Pelodiscus sinensis: one gene and its partner. The protein of the gene in region 2 interacts with the protein of the main gene of each other region in a pairwise test. Links are inferred from orthologs where the notes say so. Each region holds a gene or a part of one and is shown on either strand. Other genes may lie near its edges.

Region 1 (12,585 bases), on a different chromosome or scaffold from region 2:
CTCAGGAGCAGAGCAAAAAATGGCATTATGTGATGAAAACAGTATAGACATTGCATCTACCCACTGTATTAGTTATAGCTGAGGAAAACACAAGCATGCTTTTCAAACTGCCCAAATAGAAACTGGCTTAGGATGTCAGAATATCCTGCACATTGCTGATAAGTGCTCATGACCTTGTGGATCAGATGCTCAGCCCCTATTCCTTTGTGAATGTAGCCAGAATGGGATTTGATTTCCCTGGCCTGGAGCCCAGCCCAGTTAGCCATCTCTACATTACCCATGCTGTTCTGTGGTATAGAAGACACTCCCAGTGAAAAGGATGCATAGCTAACACACCCTTTTACTCTACCAGTTATTTGCTGGCTAATGGATCAGCCCCTCCTGAGGCTCTGGTGGGTCATATCCAAAAGCCTCCTTAGGACAGTTCTTAGCCAACCCTGATACTGGGGAGCTGCAAGGGTAGCTTTTACACCTTTTACTCCAAGGCTTCGTCTTCACTGCGAGTTCTTCCAGCAGAAAGTATGCTAATGAGGGACTCATTAGTATAAGCCACAATCGTATTAGCATATTTTCTGCTGTTTCTTTTTGCGCAAAAAGGAACCGCAGAAAATATGCTAATGAGATTGCAACTTATGCTAATGAGCCCCTCATTAGCATACTTTCTGCCAGAAGAACTCGCAGTGAAGATGTAGCCAAACTTTATGGACCAAAGGATCAAGCTCAGTGTCTCTAGCCTCTGTATTCCCAAGTACTGTGCAGGGTAATTCATTTCAAATTTTAGAAGACAACCTTGCAACTTTCATTTATAAAAGCAACAATGCCTTTCAATTCCAACTGCTTCAAGAAAATGTTTTACACCAAATGTAATCTGCACTTCATAAGGAATAAAAATAAGAGGTATCCCAATGAGCACCCAATGTTCTGTCCATCTAGATTTTTATATTACAATTTGTTTTATGGAGAATAAACAATTCCCTGTTGAGCAACGTTGCATAATCTTTACCCATGATCCTTCACTTGCTCCAATAGTGGAGCTTGTCTTTTTCTGTATGGGATTGCTGAACAATAGCATACATCTCTCTCAATTATACAGTATGTACTCAAACACAATCCATTCATTTGTAACATGACTGGACAGTGTCTTCCCTACTGAAGATCAATACCCCAAAGCAGGAATACTCTCTTCCCTAAGTTATGCATGCACATATACCTACCTTTTCTTTGGCAGTTTAATCTTCGCAATGTAACTCAGACAGTAGTTGATTAGATCTTGGAGCAAGTCCTCACCCAGATGACTCTGAATGCTCTAAACATACAAAAAGACATATCAACTATAGATCCAGAATTCTGAAAGTAACTTATTGACAATACAGGTTTTAGATTCTCGTGTATAGCAGATGCCAGAAAACCAGGTCTTAAGTACGTGGTTCTCAGTGTATGTGCAGTACTGGTACTGTAGGCTCCCGTTCTCTACCTTAATTATAAAATGCTATGCTGCACAACTGACCACTTCTCACGAATGTTCCCTCTAATCCATGTGTGGAATAATTTTTGTTTTTTGTACTACCAATAGAAACACATGTTACCGACTGTGGGCACTTTGAGCGATCTGCACTCAGCTTACACGAACACTATCTCTCAGTATAACATGCTCCTCCATGCCCCTACTTCACACTGTGGGTTAGAAAATGCATGCTGAAATGGAAAGGAGTAGATAGGGGCTAGTACAGCTTAATTAAGTGCGGGAAACAGTTGCCAAATAAGTTGGGAACCGGTACCTTAAGATATGGGTCAGGTCCTGAGCTATTTTATTTTCCATTCTCCAATAGCTAAATTGAGGCACTGAAGATTATCACAATATTAGATTTAATCACCAGTATTTTCTCAGCCTCTTAAATTATTTCTAGCAGCTTATAAAAATACTCTACTCAATCAAGGCCACCCTATGTGCTAGCTCCTAAGCAGCAGTGGGGGTACATTCCACTGGTGGTCAAGGAAAGGAGATGGCTTTAAGCCACCCTTTCCACTTCCCAAGTCTCAGGCCTGTGAAGGACCAGCTATAATTTAGAGTAGCCTCAAAGGTGTTCTAAATGAGGCCCAATTGTTATAGAAATTCCATGAGTGGGCATCACTAGAGGTCTCCAGCCATGACCCCCATGCCAGAGAGTAGGAAAGATGTCACTCAGGAATTTTACGTGCTGGAAAAATTCTCTAGTCAAATCTACCAGGTTTTGAGCAGGGCAAACCAGGAGGTCTGAGGTAAGGATCTGGCTCTACATCTTGCGTCAATCTATAGATTTAAGAGAGGAGATGGACTGTCAATTGTACAAATAAAATTCTATATATAAAGCAATAATTTCAGACTATTAAATGATCACTGCAGCTGCAAAACAAGACAGGCAATTCTCCATGCAGAATTATGAGAATAAAAATCTTGTTTGAAAGATTTTAGCCTTACAATAATCAATTAGTTTATAAGATCTATTAAACATACCTGCTTGCACAACAACACCCCATCTTTGTATGAGACTAGACCATTTTCTGGAAAGATGTAGTCAAACTTTTCAACAACTAAAAACACAAACAAAAAATGCTGCAGTTTATATCTTGTCTTTCCTTCATTGTATGCAAACCTTTTCAGTACTAAATACATCAAAATATAATAATTTTAGAATAATAATAATTTTAGAATATTAAGCAGAAGCTATACACTTGTAATGTCTGATGAAAAACTTAAAGGACCTAATTCTGCAATTTCTATTTGTTCCTCCTTCTGAAGCCACTGGGATCTTACACCATGAGAATAGCAAGTAGTTAAGTTACATACATTTAGCATGAAGGATCTGACTCTATCCTTAGCACATTTAGTTGTGCTTTACTATTGTAAACCAGGGGTGGGCAAACTCAGGTGGAGGGGCGAGGGAAGTGCTGAAGTCAGGCTGTCTCCCTGCCCCTGTACCTTGTCTCTGCAGAGCAGGGGTAGAATAACACACTCAATCAGCAGAGCTGCTCCATTCTAAAGCGTGATTCAGAGGAGAGCAGAAGGGGGAAGAGAGACAAGACAGATTTCCTTAAAGAGACAGAGCGTGGCTGCTCAGAAATTTAGCGAGCACACATGCTCTGTGTCACTGTCACACACACCCAGTCTGTGCCACAATCTGTCACACAGTCTCTCTCACACAAAATGTCTCTTTCTGTAGCCCCACCTCAACCCCTTCCACCCAAGACTCCACCGCTTCCAGGGGCCCCTGGAACCAGCCTATCACCACATACCAAAATTTATGAAGTGCCCCTCCTGAAAAAATTATTGCCGACCCCTGTTGTAAATTGCCATGGATCCAGTCACCATTGCAAAACCTTGGAACAACAATCTGGACATAAAAATCAATAAGAGGACAAAGAAAAGTTTACTATTTGAGGGAGATTATTTTAATGCAATTCTACTTGATAAAAATGTGTGTGTTTTAAACTGAATTACAGGATCAAGTCTCCTTTGAAATATGTAAGTAGAATTAGGAGACAAAAATATGGTTCCAAAATGATAAATCCAAATGGCTTCTTCTGTGCCACGGACTATGTTTCAATAGGAAAATGTACAATAGGGATGTAAGTGACTAGTTGACTACCTGATAAGCATAGGCTTATCAGGTAGTCGAGTCACGACTTGCTCCTCTTCCCTTGCTGCCTCTGCAGCAAGGGAAGGAGGGAAACAGGAGCCAGTGCTGAAGAGAGGCAGAGGCACAGCAGGGGAAACAGCAGAGTCCCTTCCTGCGGGTCCCGACTGCTGTGCCTCTCCCTTTGAAATGTTCAAGGGCTATGGGTGGCTCTTGCACATTTCAAAGGGACAGGTGCAGCACTCGGGACCCCACATGAGCGGGGACTGATTCGGTCTTTGTTCGCACAGGTTCTCCACTGCACCTCTGCCTTTGAAATGCAACAGGTTAGCAAGTGCCCCCCCTTACAGGCTAATCGATGGAAATTATATCCACTACCTGATTAGCTGATTAATCGGAATGTTACATTCCTAATGTACAATACTACTATTTATTGTTCTACAAGTTGTATAATACGTCTACTGAAACTAAAACTCAGCCTTGGGATTCAAGTAAAAAAAAAACCACTATAGGATCAGTTGTGGCATATTCTAAATATTCTGCTTCAAGAAAAGCTGTGAAATCACATCCTTATTTGAACATCTGCAATAATTGTAATACTGCTGGAGATGATTTGGGGGTATCTGGCTCTTGCTAACTAAAAATCAGATGACTTCGGAAGGCCATTTCCAGGCCAAGTAAAACCATGATTATATAAAATGTTTGTCAGTATATATTGGGAATGCATAATTGTGAATTATGAAAGGCAATTAATACTGATCTTTCACATTAAAAACCTTACACAGAGTTAAAAAAGGGAAAGAACCAGATCTCAAAGGCACTATTTAATAAAAATCAGCTCTTGCGTGGATGAGCACATTAGATAAACTATGTAATGAGATACAAACAACTCCATTTTATAAAGATTGTTAAAATATATCTTAACTAACATTTCATGAAATCGGCGTAATATAGTAAAATCAGAGAAACATATTCAGAATAAGGAAGTTTGCATTTAATGAAAAATGACGTGACCAACTCTGGGAGAAAGGGATTGTATTTACCCATCAGAACTTCCTCATAAGGAATTCGTTTCAACTTGGATTGCTACATCTTTTTTTTTCTTACCATCATCTCCCAGCTGCTCTTGAATTTTTTCAAAGTCTGAACCACCTACAACTCCAACTTTCACCTTCTTTCGTAGCTTCTGCAGAAATTCTGCCATTTCTGCTGTGATTTTCTAGATTAAATAAACAGTTTATATTTTAAGGTAGTTAACTACTTTTACCATGAGTACCAGTTGAATTAAAATACAGTGCAGTGGGAGAAAGGTCACTGAGAACTAAACTCTGCAGGGTTTTAAGAAGCGATATAAGAAAAATTTTAAAAATGTCTATGAGAAAATATTCCCGGAAGGCAAAATCCCTTAAACAACAAGGAAGTCACTATAGCCTCCGGCTCGCTAATGGAGTGTTCTCCCTACTGCTAAACGTTAAAAACCCGCAGTGGCTTGTGATGAGCCTTCGGGGACAAGCCCCCCACGGAGCCAGCCCCTCCCCACCCGGAGCCCAGGGGCATCAGTAAGTCGGCGCAACGCCCGTGCGCGAGGGAGCGGCTCGCGCAGATCACGCAGGTTAACAGGTGGCAACGCTGCTCCTTGAGCCCGAGAACCAGGGAAGTTCCAGGTCCCCCCCAAACGCCAGCAACAGGCTCCGCCCCCAGCTCCCTCAACGGCCAGCGGGCACCCCCTGCACGCGACCGGCCGCAGCTCCCCAGAGCCCCTGCGTGGGGACACAGCCCGGCGGCTTCGCGGGGCTCTCTGCTCTCCGTGCCCGGCGGCCGGGCAGCAACCGCCCGCTCTGGCAGCCCAGGGTCCCTCCCGCCGCAACGCGCTCCACCCGCTCGCCCCCGGCCCTGGGCCCACCTGCCGGGGCGCGGTCAGGGTCCCGTCCACGTCGAAGAGGCAGAGGACGCTGCTGCCCGGCGCCGCCATGCTGCGGATGAATGAGAGGGCGCCTCACTCTCTTCCGGGTCTGCGCGACCCAGCCGCGGGGGATGCCGGGAGCCCAACAGCTCGACTGAAAGGCACCTGCGGGCCCCTCCCACGGTGCAACGCAGCAGCTCCGACGTACGCGGCCCGCGAGCGCCGCGCAGGCGCGGTGGCACTTGGGTCCTGGATCCACGTCTCTGTCTCGGGATGGTAAGGCCGGGCCTAGCTGGGCGCGCGGCTCGTGCCACGGCGGGTGGGGGCGGCACCCGGAGGCGGGGCTCGGCGCTGTACAGCGCGCGCGGGCGGGCAGGAGGGCGCCGCGCTTCCCTGGCCGCGGTGTTAGTGCTGGGGGCGCCTCAGGCCCGGGCCGGCGCTCGGCGCGCGAGGGCTCCCCGTTGCCTTGGGGCGAGGTTGGGCTGCGGCTTCAGGCGGGCTGGGCCCCGCGCTGGGCGGGGCTGCCGGTGCGAGGTGTGAAGACCGGGCATGAAACCTTCTCTTGTAGGCCGCGGTCTTCAAAACCAGCACTCGCCTCCGCTCCGCGCTGCCTCCCTGTGGGCGCGCCTTGCCGCGGGAGCCTTCGGCCAGACTGTGGCAGAGAGGAGACAGGTGCCGCCCCCGTTGGCTTGGGACCCCTGTGTTCTTACAGGCTCCGCGGTGGCGAGCGGGCAATCCTCGGGCGGGGCTGGCACAGTACAGATGTGCCGGTAGCTTAACCCCCACCAACCGAGGCTCGGAAAAGCCTGCGAGCCAGGACACGGAACAGTTCAAACTGGTCTACAAATTCCCAGGAATTAAATATTGTCGAATATTTTCAAGAATGAAGTTGTTACAGACTGCTCTGACCGTAGTCACCCTCCCTCCAGTCTATCACCTCTATCTGCAGGAACAAGTTTCTCAGGATTTTCTGTTGTATGTCACTGGCATTGCTTGCTTTGCTGCTGCAATGCTGTATGGTACAAGTTATTTTTTCAGACGAATGATTGGACTGATATACTTAAATGATGTTGGCACTATGGTAAAAGTGGCACATTTGACATTTTGGGGTCAAAAGAAAGTCATTTATTGTCCAATTGAAACTGTGATGCCCTTGGGTGACACTGGAGATGCCAAGAACGAAGTACTGCTTCAGTTTAAACAGCATAATAGTACACACATTTTATATTTTACTCTAAAGTTTGGCCATATTGTAGATAAACAGAGGTTTGACCAAATATTTGGAGGATATTACTAATACATTTTCCATTGATCTTCATGCTGAATTCAGAGCATAGTTTAATAGATGTATAAATACTCAAATCCGGAATATTACCATCCTTTTTTCGTACAAATCCTCAGCCAGCATGCACACCTGTGTTTATACAAAGGGCATACCTTGATGTAGTAACCACTAGACAGAAGTTTCTGTGTAGTAATTTCAGATGAAAGCTGAATCTCATTGCACACACACAACTATTATGTAAATAAAGCTAGTATAATACTCATGTCTGGTAACTTGCACTTAAAATTGGTTCACCTGAATGTGCAGTTGAGCTAGCAGGTAGTGGGGTATTTTTTTATGGTGCTTTCAGACTAGGATAGCAGCTAAAAATAATTTATTGGTAAAACTGAGCAAATGTAACTTGCTATCAGAGAGAACCATAGAAACCACAGCAGCATTTTTACTATCTCTTGTGAGACTTCACTTTCAATTTGTCAAATTTTGATCAAGAAAATTTTAATTTCTATTAACATGTAAAGTTAGTAAGTTATTGAAATTGCAAATTATTCCTGTAGAACTGCAAAGTAAGGATTATACTAGTGCAAGAAATGGTCATGAGGTGGAACCGCTTGCTCACTTGTGACCTTGGCTAGCAGTAACCGGGAACTATGCCTCTCACTTTTTGTAGCAATTCTTCTGTCAGATCAAAACTTAGTGTCAGTGGGATTCAGAGTAAGATTTGTCCAGCATTCAGCAATGGCTTGTGGCATTTTAACTTGTGTACATAGAGAAAAGGATAAATTCTGAACAGAAGTATATTACAGATTTGCAGAAGCTTGAAAAACATTTTCTTACCCTGAGCTACAGGCACTATCTAAGGTTATTGTAAATAAGAATTTTAAGCATTTTCAGTGCTTATGATTGATTTGGATTTTTTTTTCAATTTAACAAATTGAAACTCATTCATTTTCTTAGGCATAATATTTTAATATTTGGGTTGCAAAGACAGCAGGGAAATGGTTATTTTTAAACAGCAACTGTGCCCACAAAGGAACTAAATGGCACATCAGTTCAAAATATCCTTCCATTGACCGGACTTAGTTTTGATTGTGTACTGTAGATTGTACTTTTCACAAATTAAAAAAAAGTTGTATGAAGTGCTAACTGACTTCAGTTCTCACGTTGCTTATTGCTGTAGAATGACATGTAATGCAGCAGATTTATAAAGCACAGTATGCATTTTAATAAGTGTAATGGTTACCTTTATTATCACATGATGACATACAATGTCAACACAAGCAAATCTTATTGTACCGAGGGAGTTGTTTAAAGCTGCACCAGTTCATATAGCATTATGAAAGTTCACAGGAGAAAATCTTGCCTAACACCTCTCCAGCTATAGAATGTTCTGATTACAGAAGTAGTATGGCTGCATCTAAACTGGCAAGATTTTGCGCAAAAGTGGCTACTTTTGCGCAAAATCTTGCCACCTATCTACACTGGCTGCGAGTATTTGTGCAAGAACACTGACTTTGTAATGTACAAAATCAGAGGTTCTTGCGCAAACACTCCGATGCTCCCGCTCAGGGATAAGCCCTCTTGCGCAAGTATTCTTGCGCAAGAGGGCCAGCATAGGCAGCCAGCTTAATTTCTTGCTCAAGAAAGCCTGATGGCTAAAATGGCCATTGGAGCTTTCTTGCACAAGAGAGCATCTACATTGGCACGGATGCTTTTATGCAAAAGCAACTGTGCCAGTGTAGACAGTCCCTTGCGCAAATACTTTTAATGGAAAAACTTTTCAGTTAAAAGTATTTGCGCAAAATCGTGCCAGTCTAGACGCAGCCTATGTGTGTTTTTTCTTTTGGCAGTCTCTCAGGCTACGTCTAGAATGCAAGCCTCTTTCGAAAGAGGGTTTTTCGAAAGATCCTTTCGAAAAAGTGTCTAGACTGCAACCAGTACTTTCGAAAAAGCAAGCCGCTTTTTCGAAAGAGAGCACCCAGTCTAGACCTGCAGTCTAGACACAGCCACAGAGGGCATTTTTGCCCATTCTCTCACACAACTACTTGAATAGCTGTGCACACTTGGGAAGGCTGGAGGAATCACTCTTCAAATCCTTTACTTTCCTTCCTACCAACTGAGGACAACAGCTCTACTATTCCATGGCTGTGGGTGGGGACTCAGGTAATCCTTTCCTTTTCAAAGATGTCCTCATCATAAGCAAGATTTGCTCCATAATGAGAAGCAGGCCTGGATATGGATAAAACATGGACTCAGGGCTCCTCAGGATGGGATAAAGCGGGCAGTTTGCCTAGGATTCTGTGTGAGAGCCCAAACTTAGTGGTGTTGCATGCTAATGTATCAGGTTACAACATCACTTACTGATATTTGTTCCTGTTAACCCTGCTCTGAGGTGAATGTGGGGCAGGATCATTCTCCCTGCCCTCAGTGGAAAGCTTTTTGGAAGGCGTATTTTGTTTTGTTTTGTTTTTTGGGGGGGGGGGGGAATAGGAAGCTTCAGTTTTAGAATTTGTGCAGGCCCTCAAAACCCTCTGTATACCGAGCCTTGCAAAACTGCAGATATGGATGTAGATATCCGCATCTCATTTTTTGCAGCTACAGACAGGGATGTGAATAACATTTTCAGCTATCTGCTAGAGGTAGCTGCTTAAAGATGGCTGCCAAAATGTGAAGGTTGAGGAAGACTTTGGGGAGGGGTGGCAACAAAGACGCATGGTATGAGGCAACTGAAAGGACACAAGCCAAGTGGCCAGGAGGGAGGATTACTTAGAGCAGTGGTCACCAACCAGTAGATCAGGATCTACTGGTAGATCTTGGAGCCTCTGACAGGTGATCCTGACTGGTTTGTCCAAAAAGCTATCAAGTGCTGGCTCTTCAGTTGTCCCTCCACCCACTGTCATGCTGCTCCTGCTCTCTGCTTTGGAGCTGCCCCCCTGGAAGCCTCCTGCTTGCTGTGCATGGTGTGGTAGGAAGAAGAGGGGAGTGCTGATTTCAGGATGTCCCTCTTACCCCCACTCCTGTACCCTAACTCCACACACAGAGAAGGGGACAGAGGGAGCTTGGCAATGCAAATCTGTCACACACGCTGTGTGTCTGTCATTGTCACAAACACACACTGTTCTTCACTCTCATCTCCTGACCCAACAAAAAGTGGGGAGTTGTTACTTCTACTACTTGCAAAGTGGGTTATTTTGGGTCTGTGCACTTCATAATTTTCATTTCTTACACTTAAATGTAATTTTTGATTGAGTTCTAAAATGCCTAACCTGTCATGGCTGGAGCAAGCTCTACATGCTGTCCTTCAATGGGAGCTGCAGGAATGGTGTCTGCAGTGATCAATAACGGGGAACTGGCCAGTAGAAGCTGTGGGCTCAGGGCCTGTAGATAAGGAGCAGCACATGGCACCATGGAGCCATTGCTGTACATGCCAGATGCTTTCAGGAGTGATGCAGAGCCAGCTGAACCCGTCCCAGCCCTGAACCTTCTCCTACACCCAACCTCCTGCCTCAGATGTGAGTCCCCCTGCACTCCTTCCCACAGCTTGTACCCTGAAACCCCCCCTAGATCCCAATGCCCCTCCCACACTCCAAACTCTTTGGCTCAAGACCAGAGCCTGCACCCCAATTCCCTGCTCCAGCCTGGCATAAGTAAGTGAGAATGGGGGAAGGAAGGGGAATGGAGTGAGCAGGGTGAGGTCTTGGAGAAGGGGTGGAACAGGGGCGGGGCCTCAAAGAAGGGCCAGGGCGGAAACGGGCGAGGGTATTTGGGTTTGAGGTCACAGTTAAATAGAAAAAGCGATCTTGTGGTTAAAAATGTTGGAGACAGTGAAACAAAGATGTGATAGCTACACACTGTTAGTGCATTAGTCAGATCAGAGCTCGGTTATGTCTCAAGCTAGGAAGGATAGTTATTCCTTAAAAAGATGGAAGTGTAGCCCTGCCCCATTCAGTCAAATGGATTATATGCTGCAGTCACAGTATCATGACGTGCAAAAAAGTAAACTTTGCTTCTGCTTGTAGGAGTAACAAAGCATTCTCCAGGGTACTCTCAAACCAGTCCTATGAAGTCCTGCTAGGACTTTTGTTCATTACTGTACTGTGATCCCAGAGGTCTGAAGCATGTCTACAGTAGAGGAATAGGAGTTTGGAATAAAATGTTCTTGTGACACTGTGAATGCTGTTTGATATTTGAATGCCAGGCCTCAGTATTCCTATCTATATGGTTACTTCATTAGATTTTTTTTTTAAATGCACCCTCCACACCTGTAAGTGTCTTTACCTTGGTGGCATGTTGTGACGCTTAATCAGCTGATGGTAAGACTCCTTGTTCCGAGAAGGAATAATAATCTGAAAAGTGCTCGCTCAAGGAGTATAAATCAAAGCCAGATACACGAAAAGGCATAAATTGTAACACTAACATTTCTATCACAAATACATGATAGAAATGTTGAGTTGTTCTGAAAGTGCTGAAATCAAACTCTTACAGCATTTTCTATTTTCATGCATTTTTACTCCATGTAGCAAACCTGGTACAGTGGCAAATAATTCAGCTCTCAATGTTCACTTACATGGAAGAATTAGCTATAATTTTCAGAGTAGTTTCCATATCTAGCCCTTATCTCCTTTTTTGTGTTGCAGAGGGAGAATCGCTACCATCCAAATACATCACTCAGACTTACCCTGATTTGCAGGCTACTAATGCAAAGCAAATAGGGGGAGTTTACATCCCTATGGTTTGGCTGAACCCAGTGCTGGTGCAGTAAAGCAAAAGGAAATGATGAAGTAGTTGTGTTGGCTAGTGATGTCGATTTATTGAGTGGTAGTTACTAGTTAACTGTTGGCCCGGCTGGGCTGTAGCAGCTCCTGACCCATCCACAGTCGGGATGTAATAGTATAGTCGGTTAATCAATTAACTGATAAGCAAAAGCATAGACTACAAGTATATAGAGTACACGTATTCCCTCCCCACCAGAAAACTTTCTGGCAGGTTGGCCAACAGCCCGGCTCAGTCCTGGCTTATGCTAGGTCCAGAACCTACTCTTGCTGCAGCTCTGCATTTAAAGTGTATTAGGAACCAGGCAGCCCAGTTCAGTTCTGGTTCGAGCTGGATCTGGGAGCTCAGCCCCCCCAGTCCTATGGGGCTGCTGCCACCCCAGACTGCTGCCTTTGTATCACACAGCACGGGGTGATTGGCAGCCAGTCTGCAAGGAAAGCTGGTTTTTAAACAGGCCACCCTTGTGGACCAGCTCCTGCCTGGCACCCCATGCTGCTGCCTCTAATCCAGAGGCAGTAGCGCAGAGTGGCAGGGAGCTCCTCAGGAGTGGGGCCAGAGTGTACTGGCTGTGGGTCTCATCCCCAGGGACTATAGAATAGTCAAGTAACCGATAAGAACTGATGAGGTTAATCAGCTATTCAATTAACCAATATTTAATATCCTTAGTCCATGGTGTGGTGTGCCCAATCAGGCCAGAACAGCCTGCTATGGGTTGGCCACATGACCCTGTTTAAGCAATTAACTGGTTAAATATAATGTTTAACCAGGTAACTGATTAAACAGGATTTTGCATTCCTAATGTTTGCTTGTGCTTCCTCTTGACTTATGGGCGGTGTCTAGATTGTCATGATTTTCGGGAAATGCTTTTAATGGAAAAGTTTTCCGTTAAAAGCATTTTCAGAACAGAGTGTCTAGATTGGCACGGACGCTTTTCCGCAAAAGCCACTTTTTGCGGAAAAGCGTCTGTGCCAATCTAGACGCGCTTTTCCGCAAAAAAGCCCCGATCGCCATTT
Region 2 (11,973 bases):
ACTGGATTCGATGACCTCTCGAGGTCCCTTCCAGTCCTAGTGTTCTATGGTTCTATGAATTTAAAATTTAAATATAAATTTAAGGTACTTTTAAATGTTGTGTATGATACATAACTTGTTTTGTTGAAATAAAAACAAGTATAGTCAGTGGTTAATCTTGCCTTTCAGTTGATAACACAGTTCCCATTTGTCCTGGAAAACACGGTGCTTGTCTTCAATCTTCCTTTTTATAGATTTACTACTTTCCCATTTTGATAGTGACATTGCGAAGTCACTATCAAAAAAGTAGAAAAAGCTAACAATGAAAAAAAAAACCCTTTAAAAATACTGTAACATTCTCACAGTAAAAAAAATCACCCCACTATGTATTTTAAATGTAACACTTCTGCCCTATTACATCTTGTGAGTTTTTTAAACTTAAGCTGAACTGGGAAGTATATTAGCACAATTGTTTCACTCCAGCTTGTTGGTTTCCTCATTTTGTTTACTTGAGAAGATTATGGCTTTTTTATAGTTCTAAAAATTCAGGTTTGTCCCAAATGGTCCCAAACAATAAGGGAGAGATTCATATATCAGAATAATTGCTTCAGCCTGGCAAACTATAGCCTTTGAATTTCCTTGAAAGAAACACAGTGTAAACCAGGTACATGCTGATTTTTTTTTTTTTTTTGCCCTGGAATTTAAATATGACATCTTATTCTGCATCCATGTCCTCCTCCCACCCCAGCTCTGTCTATTTATCCCCAGGATTACCAAAACAAATCGAGTGGCTTGAAAAGCTGGCCTTTATGCTATCCTTAGGATTTCTTAACTATGCATGTTCAAAGGTACACGTAATATTCTTACACAGATAATCCATGCAAAACTGACAAGTTAATTGCCCTTTGGCTGACTGATGTAAAAGTGCTTATTTATTAGCAATATTGGTAGGCCCTGGTTACCCTCGACTGGCTGGTACTTCTTAGATATAAAACTGGATATGTTCATTTTCCTTTTTTATCTTTAAAGCAGATGTCATTGGAGCCAAATGGGTATCCTTCAGAAATTGGAAACCCATCCCAAGTAAAGTCTATAGAGCAGAACATGAAATAAGGATAGGTAAAATGTAAGATAGATATCAGGTTTGCAAAGTGGGAATTGATGAGCAAACAGCCAAAACATTACAAAAATATTTGTTTCTAAGAAGCAGGAAGTCTATGAGGGTATGTCTACACTACAAAGTTAGTTCGAACTAATGGACGTTAGTTCGAAGTAACTTTAATAGGCGCTACACTAGCGCTCCGCTAGTTCGAATTTAATTCGAACTAGCAGAGCGCTTAGTTCGAACTAGGAAAACCTCATTTTACGAGGATTAAGCCTAGCTCGAACTAGCAAGTTCGAATTAAGGGCTGTGTAGCCCCTTAATTCGAACTAGTGGGAGGCTAGCCCTCCCCAGGTTTCCCTGGTGGCCACTCTGGCCAACACCAGGGAAACTCGTCTGCCCCCTTCCCGGCCCCGGACCCCTTAAAGGGGCACGGGCTGGCTACGGTGCCCGTGCCAGGTGCAAGCCTGCCAGCACCCAGCCAGCAGACCCTGCACCTGGCACGGATTGAGCCACCCACCTGATGCCCCCCAGCCCTCTGCCTCTTCCCAGGACCAGGCTGGTGGCTCCCGGGACCTTGCCCGGGACCGCAAGAGGCGGGCACACGCCTGGGCTAGTGCGGACATCGTGGACCTCGTCCACGACCTCCGCACTAGGCACAGGAAAGTGGCCGTCTAGGGCAGGAGAGCTGTCAGCCTGGCCACCCAGGAGCAGGTGTGCATGAAAATCAAGATGGTCCACTGAAACCCCCGACCCTGAGCCCTGAGCTTACAATGGCCATCCTGGGTCAGACCAAAGGTCCATCTAGCCCAGTAGCCTGTCTGCCAACAGCGGCCGACCCTAGGGACCCTGGAGGGGATGGACCGAAGACAGTGACCAAGCCATTTGTCTCGTGCCATCCCTCTCCAGCCTTCCACAAACCTTGGGCAGGGACACCACTCCTACCCCCTGGCTAATAGCACTCCATGGACCCAACCTCCATGACCTGATCTCACTTCCCTTTAAACTCTGTTCTCGTTGTAGCCTTCACAGCCTCCTGCAGCAAGGAGTTCCACAGGTTGACTCTTTGCTTTGTGAAGAACAACTTTCTGTTACTAGTTTGAAGCCTGCTACCCATTCCTTTCCTTTGGTGTCCTCTAGTCCTTCTTTATGGGAACTAATGAAGAACTTTTCTGTATGCACCCTCTCCACCCAACTCCTGCTTTTAGAGACCTCTATCCTGTTCCCCCTCCGTCTTCTCTTTTCTAAGCTGAAAAGTCCCAGTCTCTTTAGCCTCTCTTCATATGGGATCTGTTCCCAACCCCTGATCATTTTAGTTGCCCTCCCCTCTCCCACCCTCTCTCTTCCCCTCTCCCACCTCCTTTTCCCAGTTTCCCCCAGTTTTGTTCAATAAAGACAGATTCCATTTTTAACACAATTGTCCTTTATTTTGTACATCAAGAAGAGGGGCTAGGGAAGGGTAAGTGGAAGGAGGTGAGGGAGGAATGGGGCACGAGCCCCCAATGGGGAGGACTGGGCTGGCTCTGCGGGCTTCTGGGGGTGGAAGCTCTCCTGCAACCCCCCAATTTCCCCCACTCTCAGATGGCAGCCTGCGGCAAGTGCAGCCGGGCTGATGGCCGAGTGCTGTGATGTGCCCAGTGTGGGTAGTCCGGGCACTCCAAGCCAGGACTGCTTTGCAAGCGGGAAACCCCTGAGAACTGTCTGTCCGGGGTGGGGGTCGGGACCCTTTAAGCACAGCCCTCTGCTAGCCTGAGACAGCATCTCCACACTCTAAGTCCTCCTCTGATGCCCTGCCGGCACTGCTTCCGGCCATCCTTAAGCATGGTTCAGGGTCCACTCTGTGTGGACATGCTAGTTCGAATTAGCAAAACGTTAATTCAAACTAGTTTTTTAGTCTGGATCCGTTAGTTCGAATTAGCTTAGTTCGAATTAACGTTGTAGTGTAGACGTACCCTGAGAGACATTGTTGAGTCTGCTAGACTAGCAGTGAGTAAACAGAAAATTAAAGGAAAATAAAGACATTGCAAAGAAGCTAAGTTATTTCCTTCCTGCAGAAACTGTTCCTCAACTTCTGTGGATGTATTTAAGATGAGACAGCTAGAACAAAGTGATAAATCTAAGAGCAACAGGTGCAGATGAAATGACTCATGGGTTTGGAAGAAATTTCCGAATGAACTAGGTGAGCTACTCATGAAGTTAAGCAATCTCATCAAAATAAGTTCTTTCCCAGAGGACTGGGGAGTGGCGAATATTGTTTCTATCTTAAAAGCACTAGGAATGTATCCTGGAATTTAAAAAAAAAGAGTATGGTCTTGAATACCAGGACCAATGGTTGAAACCATATTTTAAAAAAGCAGAATAATTAACACTTTGAAAAATGTGAAAAGGGAGTCATTAGCATTGCTGCTGCAATGGAAGACAGATCCAATTTTCCTTTCCTTTTGACCAGTTTCACACAAAAAAGAGAACATTTGCTTAATGTGTAATAGACACATTAAAAAGAGAAGAGGGAGAGTGAAATCCTTAAGGAACGGAAATAACACTGAAAGTATTGTAATGCCATTAAAAAGATTAATGAGTCACCCTCACCTGGCTTCGTTGAATCTCTTTTTACATTTACTTAAATGACAACACATTTAATATTGATGGAAGGAAACTTTTTACCCAATTCATCTGTGGAACTCACTGCCATTAAATAGCCGCAAGGTCAAAAGTTTGTAAGATTTTTTTTAAAGGATAAAGGCTTATTGATAATGAGAACATCTAAAATACCATAGGTAGGATAAACAACAGATTAAAACCCATGTTTCAGGTCATGTTTCAAAATGATGGGAGTAAAGAAACAACATTCCCTATCCGGGGATAACTGTCGACTATAGTTTCTTGTGGACATGTGCGAGCACACTCATACCCCATCCTGTGACATCTTGTATTGGCCACTTTTGTACCTAGAGTACTGGACTAGACAAGAGGATCCCATTGGCTGATTTGGCAATGCCTACATTCCAAGGAAATCATATGACAAATATTAACACAGTAGTACAGTTAGGTTCTTAACACTCAGGGAAGATGAAAATTAAACTGAGAACCACAAATCAGTCCCTTGTGGGTGTATATATTATAGTCCTCTTGATTCTATTCCATTCGAGGGAAAAAACCTGTATGCTGTCATATTATCTGAGAAACAGTACATGACATCATGCAAATAACACTTAATTGTATGCTTGTACAAGGGGAAGAGTAGAAGAGCTGTGGTCCAGTGCCGCCTCTTCCCCAGAGCCAAGGACTTCCAGCCCCCTCCTAACCTAATGCCTACCCCTTTCCCCAGAGGCAGGAACTTCCAGGCCCCCCGCCCCCAACCTAATGCTTCCCTCCTCCCCCAGAGCCAAGGATTTCCAGCTCCTCCTAATCTAATGCCTCCTCCCTTCCTAGAGGCAGACACCTCCCAACCTAATGCATCCCACCTCCCCCAGAGACAGGCATACCTCAGCCCCCCACAACTTAATGCCTGGATTCTGGAACCACCGTCGTCACATTGCTGTTGCTGCCACTGCCACGCTTCCTTAGGCGCTGGGGTAGTGAGAGTAAGCAGCCAGCTGGCTGTGATCACATGCTGCGGGCCCTGCGCACAGTGGCTGGTTGGCTGTGACCACGTGCTGGGGGCCATGCGCAGAGCTGCCCAGCCGGCGTCACCTGCACTCAGTCACGTGCTCCACGCGGCCAGCGGGCCGCACTTCCGTCTGTCTGAAAATGCACTGGCGGGCCCCAAAAAACTTCAATGGGGCCACATGCGGCCCTCCAGATGCCAGTTTGACATGCCTGGCGGTGTACACAAATCCTTGCTTTGATCAGCCTGGCTCCATTCCACCGAGCGCCCCCTTCTTTTTGCCAGGTGCTGGGGAGGGGACACTGAGCGAAATAGAGAAATGTTCCCGCCAAAGGCAGAGCCCGAGACTGCTGACCACTCACCTCTCAGGTTGTTGATAAAGACCCCCGCGCTGATCCTGTCCACTGCCAGTCAAGGCCCCCAATAACCCTCTCTCTTGGGGCACCCAGGTGCGAGAAGCTGCTCTGGGTCCAAGCCACGGAGCCCTTGTTTAATATTTACCTCCCACAGTCAGGAGTTGGGTGAATTATTTCCCTTGGCAGGCAGTGACCTCTGCCCAAAGACCTGCTGCACCCATAGTGCTGGTGGGGGGCAACCCTTCCCCAGATCACAGGCGTTTTGGGGAGGGCAGGTGCTGGATGTACAGTCCCTAGGAAATGAAGCCCAACGCTTGGGAAGCTTGGGGGGCAGTGACTGGGTTTCTCTGGCTCCACCATAGCCTAGCATGCAAGGGACAGCTCCCCAGTGGGTGCACATGGGTATCACGCCATTTATATCTCTTGAGGTCCAGGCCCCACATGCTTATTAGAAGCCTGCCCACATCTCTCAGCTTCCCTCCTGTGCCCCCCGGCCTCACAGGGAGATAAGGGGATCGGCAGGAGCTGGTGGAAGAGAGAGGAAGTCCCTGCAAGCTAGATTCCAGCCCCTGCTGTTCCTGCCCAGCCCAGCTGCTGCCTACAGGCCCCTTTGCTGCTCCACTCTTGTCTCCCCCACCACACCCAGCTCTTCTAATGCAGCTCAGCTGCGCCACTGCCATCCAAGCGCCGCCCCGCCCCCCTGCAGCTGTGCCAATGCCCCTCCATCCTGATTCACAGCCGCCCTGCAACTCCAGCTCCAAGCTCCCCCCCTCTGCTGAAGCCCTTCCCTCCTGACCCCCCCTAGCTCACCCTCCCCCCTGCTCTCACAGCCCTGCCCCCTCCCAGCTCTGTGGCTCCTCCTGACTCCTGCCCAGCTCCCCCCTCACTTTCCTAGCCCCAAATCCCTTTGTGTTACACTTCCTCAGAGCTTCTGAGGAACAAACCCAGACAAGGAGGGGTGGGCCTGGAGCAGTATGGCTTCTGGGGCTGTTTATTGGCACAGATTCTTAAGAGTCAAGTGATACTCACACAGGGTACGTCTACACTACAGCGCTAGTTCGAACTAACTTAGTTCGAATTAGTTAATTCGAACTAAGCTAGTTCGAACTAACGCATCTAGAACTAAAAACTAGTTCGAACTAGCGTTTTGCTAGTTCGAACTAGTAAGTCCACATTGAGTGGACTCTGAACAGGGCTTAAGGATGGCCGGAAGCAGTGCCGGCAGGGCATAAAAGGAGGACTTAGAGCATGGAGATACTGTCTCAGGCTAGCCGAGGGCTGCGCTTAAAGGGTCCCGACCCCCACCCCGGACACACAGTTCTAAGGGGTGCCCCGCTTGCAAAGAAGTTCTGGCTTGGAGTGCCCTGAGTGCCCACACTGGGCACATCACACCACTCGGCCATCAGCCCGGCTGCACTTGCCGCAGGCTGCCATCTGGGGAGAGGGAGTAATTGGGGGGCTGCAGGAGAGCTTCCACCCCCAGAAGCCCGCAGAGCCAGCCCAGTCCTCCCCATCGGGGGCTCGTACCCCATTCCTCCCTCACCTCCTTCCACTTGCCCTTCCCTAGCCCCCCTTCTTATTGATGTACAAAATAAAGATAACGTTTCTTCCAACATTGACTCTGTCTTTATTGAAAAAAACTGGGGGAGACTGGGAAAAGGAGGTGGGAGAGGGGAAGAGAAAGGCTGGGAGAGGGGAGGGCAACTAACATGATCAGGGGTTGGGAACAGGTCCCAGATGAAGAGAGGCTACAGAGACTGGGACTGTTCAGCTTAGAAAAGAGGAGATGGAGCGGGGACAGGATAGAGGTCTCTAAAAGCAGGGGTTGGGTGGAGAGGGTGCATTCAGAAAAGTTCTTCATGAGTTCCCATAAAGAAGGACTAGAGGACACCAAAGGAAAGGACTGGGTAGCAGGCTTGAAACTAGTAAGAGAAAGTTGTTGTTCTTCACAAAGCAAATAGTTAACCTGTGGAACTCCTTGCTGCAGGAGGCTGTGAAGGCTAGAACTAGAACAGAGTTGAAAGGGAAGTGAGATCAAGTGATGGAGGTTGGGTCCATGGAGTCCTATTAGCCAGAGGGTAGGAGTGGTGTCCCTGCCCAAAGTTTGTGGAAGGCTGGAGAGGGATGGCACGAGACAAATGGCTTGGTCATTGTCTTCGGTCCATCCCCTCCAGGGTCCCTAGGGTTGGCCGCTGTTGGCAGACAGGCTACTGGGCTAGATGGACCTTTGGTCTGACCCAGGACGGCCATTGTAAGCTCAGGGCTCAGGGTCGGGGGTCTCAGTGGACCCCCTTGATTTTCATGCACACCTGGTCCTGGGTGGCCAGGCTGGCAGCTCTCCTGCCCTAGCCGGCCACTTTCCTGTGCCTAGTGCGGAGATCGTGGACGAGGTCCACGATGTCCGCACTAGCCCAGGAAGGTGCCCGCCTCTTGCGGTCCAGGGCAAGCTCCCGGGAGCCGCCAGCCTGGTCCCGGCAAGAGGGGGTGGGCTGGGGGGCATCGGGTGGGTGGCTCTGTGCCGTGCCAGGTGCAGGGTCTGCTAGCTGGGTGCTGGCAGGCTTGCACCTGGCACGGGCACCGTAGCCAGCCCGTGCCCCTTTAAGGGGTCCGGGGCCGGGAGGGGGGCATAGAGTTTCCCTGGTGTTGGCCAGAGTGGCCACCAGGGAAACCTGGGGAGGGCTAGCCTCCCACTAGTTCGAACTAAAGGGCTACACAGCCCTTAGTTCGAACTAGCTAGTTCGAACTAGGCGTTAGTCCTCGTAAAATGAGGTTTACCTAGTTCGAACTAAGCGCTCCGCTAGTTCGATTCAAATTCGAACTAGCGAAGCGCTAGTGTAGCGCATAGGAAAGTTAGTTCGAACTAACGTCCGTTAGTTCGAACTAACTTTCTAGTGTAGACATACCCACACTCACACATATCACAGTCATGCTGGCAGTCTGGAGACAGGCTGCCAAGTGCCGTGTAGATTACTTCAGATTTCGCTGGTGGCTGGAGTGCTGGACAGGTGACCGCTTCCTGGAGACTCGGCCATGTCCCAGGTTTCTGCTGTGATGTTACATTTTGGCCAAGAGCGAGGGAGAGATTTTCTGGCTGCGTGTCCATTAATGTATCTGCTCGCAGGGTCTTTGTCTGCCTGAAAAGATCATGGATCCTCAACTGCCTTTTTGGTTGGGTATTTCTCATTCACACTTCACACACAGTGCACAGGTTCCATAAGCAATATGGTTTCTAAGCAGAGTGGTGTAGCAATATCGTTTTTCTGTAACCATGTTGGAAGGCCTGTAGCCATATTGGTAGGCATGAACTAAAGCCTTCTTCTACAGCCAGAGTGGAGAGCAGCAGCCATTAGCTGGAAAGCCTGGAGTCATAACCTCACATTCCATCTAAATTGCATTAAAATAGTGTCACACTAGGCTGTGAAAAGGCGACCTTGTCCTAATGGCCCCCATTGTCACCAGATAAAGAAAACAGATCTCAAGATGGGCAAAGAAAACTTAATTAACAGCATTTCGTCTGGCAAGAAACTGCTTATCAATAGTTGTGGTTGTGGAATCCTCATTCTTTGATTATTGGCCTCACATTTTCCTATTGTTTGTCTGTGTGATCTCTGTCCGGTTTGTAACCATTTCTGTCTGCTGTATAATTAATTTTGCTAGGTGTAAATCAACCAAGATGGTGGGGTATGATTGGTTAGGTAATTCTGTTACAGTATGTTATAATCACACAAAAATCATTGGTGAAGGCAGTGTTTCCCAATTCTATTTGGCCACGGAACCCTTTTAAACTTGAAAGAATTTTGCGGAACTCCCAATAACAATCTAATATATGGACAACAACGCTGAGTAGTGACATCATCGTCCCCACTCTCTGGCTAAGCTGGCATTACACAGGGGCACTTATCGTGGCAAACACAAATGAAAATTGTTTTCAATAAAATTCATAAATGCTTAAATATGAATTATTTTTAAATCATAAAATGTTATTGTAAAGGAATTTTCTCGCGGAACCCTTATTTTCGCTTCATGGAACCCCGGGGTTCTGCAGAAGACCATTTGGGAAACACTGGGTTAAGGTGTAGCTAAGCAGGACTCAGGCGTCACTATATAAACTGGGGTCCAAGAAGGAGATCAGCAAGAAGAGCACAAGTAATAGAAGCAGAAGGAAAGAAAGGAACACCAAGAGGAAGGGGGAAGACCTGGAAAAAGAACTCACCTCCAAGATCAGAGGCCTAAGATCAGAGCTGCCAGGACTCTCCTACACAACCATGACATGCAGCAGCTAAGATCCAGAGAGACTGACCTTGCCTGGCCAACAGGGGAAGTCTGCCTGCCTGTATCAGGATTGGTGAGCATGACAGTGTGTGCTTAGCATGTATATTCTGCTTGCTTGGGAATTGTCAATAAATAGAGGATAAAGATATTACTGAGTGAGGCTCTTTCAGTGGCTACAGATCCTGCAAAACCTGCAGGAAGTTCCGCCCTGAGCCCTCGGAATTAGGTAAGGGTGGGTGTGTAAATTAACAGGGTTGCACCTTCAGTCCTAGGAACTAGGTAAAGGTGTGTGTCCCTACAGTGTGGAAGCGTTAGAGAAATTTGTGCAGGTAACAGTGGGGTCTCATAGCGTTGAATGCAAGAAATTGCATTGTAACATACCAAAGGCATGATAAAGAGCGTAACTAATTATAACTAGGAAAGCCGAGGTCAGAGAAGAAGGGAAAAGCAGAGGAGTATGTCTTGTCAGCTAGACACCAGTGAAGAGGAGGGAGGGGTGTTGTCTGACTGGTTACACTTTGCAGGGTGGGAGCAGCACTAAGCTGGCTGTGAGGGGCGGACATGTTTCCTCTCCCTGCCTCCGGCATGCAGACAAGCCAGGCAGGAACTGAGTAGCAGCTGCCAAGAGACAGCCCAAGGCAGCAAGTCTAAGGGCCCCAAGGGCATGGACAACCCTGAGGGCTGCAATGGGTGGGGAAGGGGGAGGGCAAACTATCCATGAGCTTGATGGGCACTGGGCAAGTGTCTAGAACCAGACCAGTGCTCTGGCCTTGTCTGCTTCACCGGGGACCATTGCTCAGCTCCTGCCTTGCACAGCCCTGGCACCGGTCACCTTCCCACACTGCACCTCTTCCAACCCAGGGCCTGCGCTGAATGTGCAACTGGGACCCTTTCCAGTCTCTTCCATCTCCCCGGCCCTGTGACCCCAGCCCCACAGCTGCTGAGGGCTACTGCGGGCCCTGCCTTTCCTTGACACCTGGGCGTAACATAAGACCGTAAGAGCAGCCATATTGGGTCAGACCAAAGGTCCATCTAGCCCAGTGTCCTGGCTTCTGACTGGCCAATGCCAGGTGTCCCAGAGGGAATGAACAGAACAGGGAACCATCAAGCGATCCATCCCCCATCATCCATTTCCAGTCTCTGACAAACAGAGGATAGGGACACCATTCCTACCCATCCTGGCTAATAAGTATAGATGGACCTAACCTCCATGAATTTATCTAGTTCTTTTTTGGACCCTGTTAAAGTCGTGGTCTTCACAACATCCTCTGGCAGGGAGTACCACAGGTTGACTTTCTCTTCACACCTCAGTCTCCCTCTTTTCACCCATACTGAGAGCACCAAAGACGCTGAAGAACTGGAGAGGGTGCTGGGAAGAGCCGTGGACACGCTCTGAGCACAGAGAAAATGCCCGAGAATGAGAATGGAAGAGCTCTATGGGGTTAGCTTATTGCGTAGATTAAGATCAAGCAGCGGGGCGTCTTAGTGACAGTGTATCAGCACCTCCCTGGGCAAAAATACCAGCTTCTCTCTGAGCAGAGACTAGGCATGCAGGAGCCAAAGGGTTGGCTCTGAAGGCAGACACGTTCTGACTAGACACAAGGCCTGGCTTTAACCGTGAGGGTGGTTAACCATCGGAACAGGCTGGTGGTGGATTCTCTTTCTATTGGAGGCTTCAAAACCAGCCTGGAGGCCTTCCCGAATGGTGCTGTAGCCAAAGGCAAGCGATGGGGCTCCGCACAGGGGTAAATGGGTCACAGTCTCTGGCCTGTGCTATGCAAAAGGTCAAGCTGGAAGGTCTGATGCTCCTCAGCGAGCTGCGTGACAGGCACAAAGCACGAGACGGGCTATTTTTTAAAGCTGGTATATTTAGTTTTGTGGAGGCTGCGTTATTCCCAACCTGCGCCGTCCCCCCATTGCCTCCCAGCATCTGCGAGCTCTCGGTTCCCCATTTAATGTCGTCGCAGATGGAAGCTGGGAAGCTGCGGCGTGGAAGTGAAAATGCTGAGCTTGGGGATCAGGCAAATGCCAGCTTGTACGAGGCCCACCCCTCTGCCCCCGAGGGCCTCAGCCCAGCAGGAAGGAGACCTTGCTTTGAGTGCACCCTGGGATTGTCACTCCCCGACCGCAGACTCAGCTCGCACGGCTGGAGGCTGAGGAGATTGTGGGAAGGCGATGCAGAGACCCATTCTCACCCGTGTGGGGAGCTCTGCACACAGTTAACTGGCCTCTGTAGGCCCGAGGCCTCTCAATCTTTACTATATTTATCAGAGCTGTCCCGTCCATTCGCTCACCTGGGGGCCTGGCACGGGGTGGCAGCAGGGGTCGCCCCCCCACTCCCAATTGACCAGGGGTCACATGTTGACCAAAAAAAATGCTTTTTAACATCTCTAATGTGCACTTGTTCGTGCCCCTTTTCGCTGGGGGAGGCTGCATGGTGACTGGTGTGTGGGTGTGGTCAGGGCAGCTGCCCAGCCTGGCACGGGGTCTGGAGCCATCTCCAGTGAGGTTTTGTGCCTCCCAGAGCATGACATGCATCTGTCGAAGTGGGCCTTTGCTCACAAAAGCGTATGCTCCAAACACTTCTGTTCCACAGGACTCCTCACCACTTTTCCAGAGCACATTGAACACACATCCTGCACTGGCTGAGAATGCCA

What was found.
Region 1: the proteins of ACY3 (region 2) and PMM2 interact in binary tests that used the Homo sapiens proteins (3 or more experiments, as listed by UniProt). The two-hybrid records come from large-scale screens. The link is inferred for Pelodiscus sinensis from reciprocal best matches to the Homo sapiens genes ACY3 and PMM2.

What each region holds. Positions count from the first base shown.
Region 1 is NC_134726.1:10,773,229-10,785,813, reverse strand, and holds the start of PMM2 (phosphomannomutase 2), read right to left. Parts: upstream 5,657-12,585; 5' UTR 5,587-5,656; coding exon 5,518-5,586; intron 4,834-5,517; coding exon 4,722-4,833; intron 2,572-4,721; coding exon 2,495-2,571; intron 1,307-2,494; coding exon 1,215-1,306; intron 1-1,214. Other genes in the region: TMEM186 (transmembrane protein 186), read left to right, coding at 5,791-5,793, 6,086-6,814. UniProt on the Homo sapiens protein: Involved in the synthesis of the GDP-mannose and dolichol-phosphate-mannose required for a number of critical mannosyl transfer reactions.
Region 2 is NC_134714.1:126,718,415-126,730,387, reverse strand, and holds the start of ACY3 (N-acyl-aromatic-L-amino acid amidohydrolase (carboxylate-forming)), read right to left. Parts: upstream 4,764-11,973; 5' UTR 4,749-4,763; coding exon 4,567-4,748; intron 1-4,566. UniProt on the Homo sapiens protein: Plays an important role in deacetylating mercapturic acids in kidney proximal tubules. Also acts on N-acetyl-aromatic amino acids.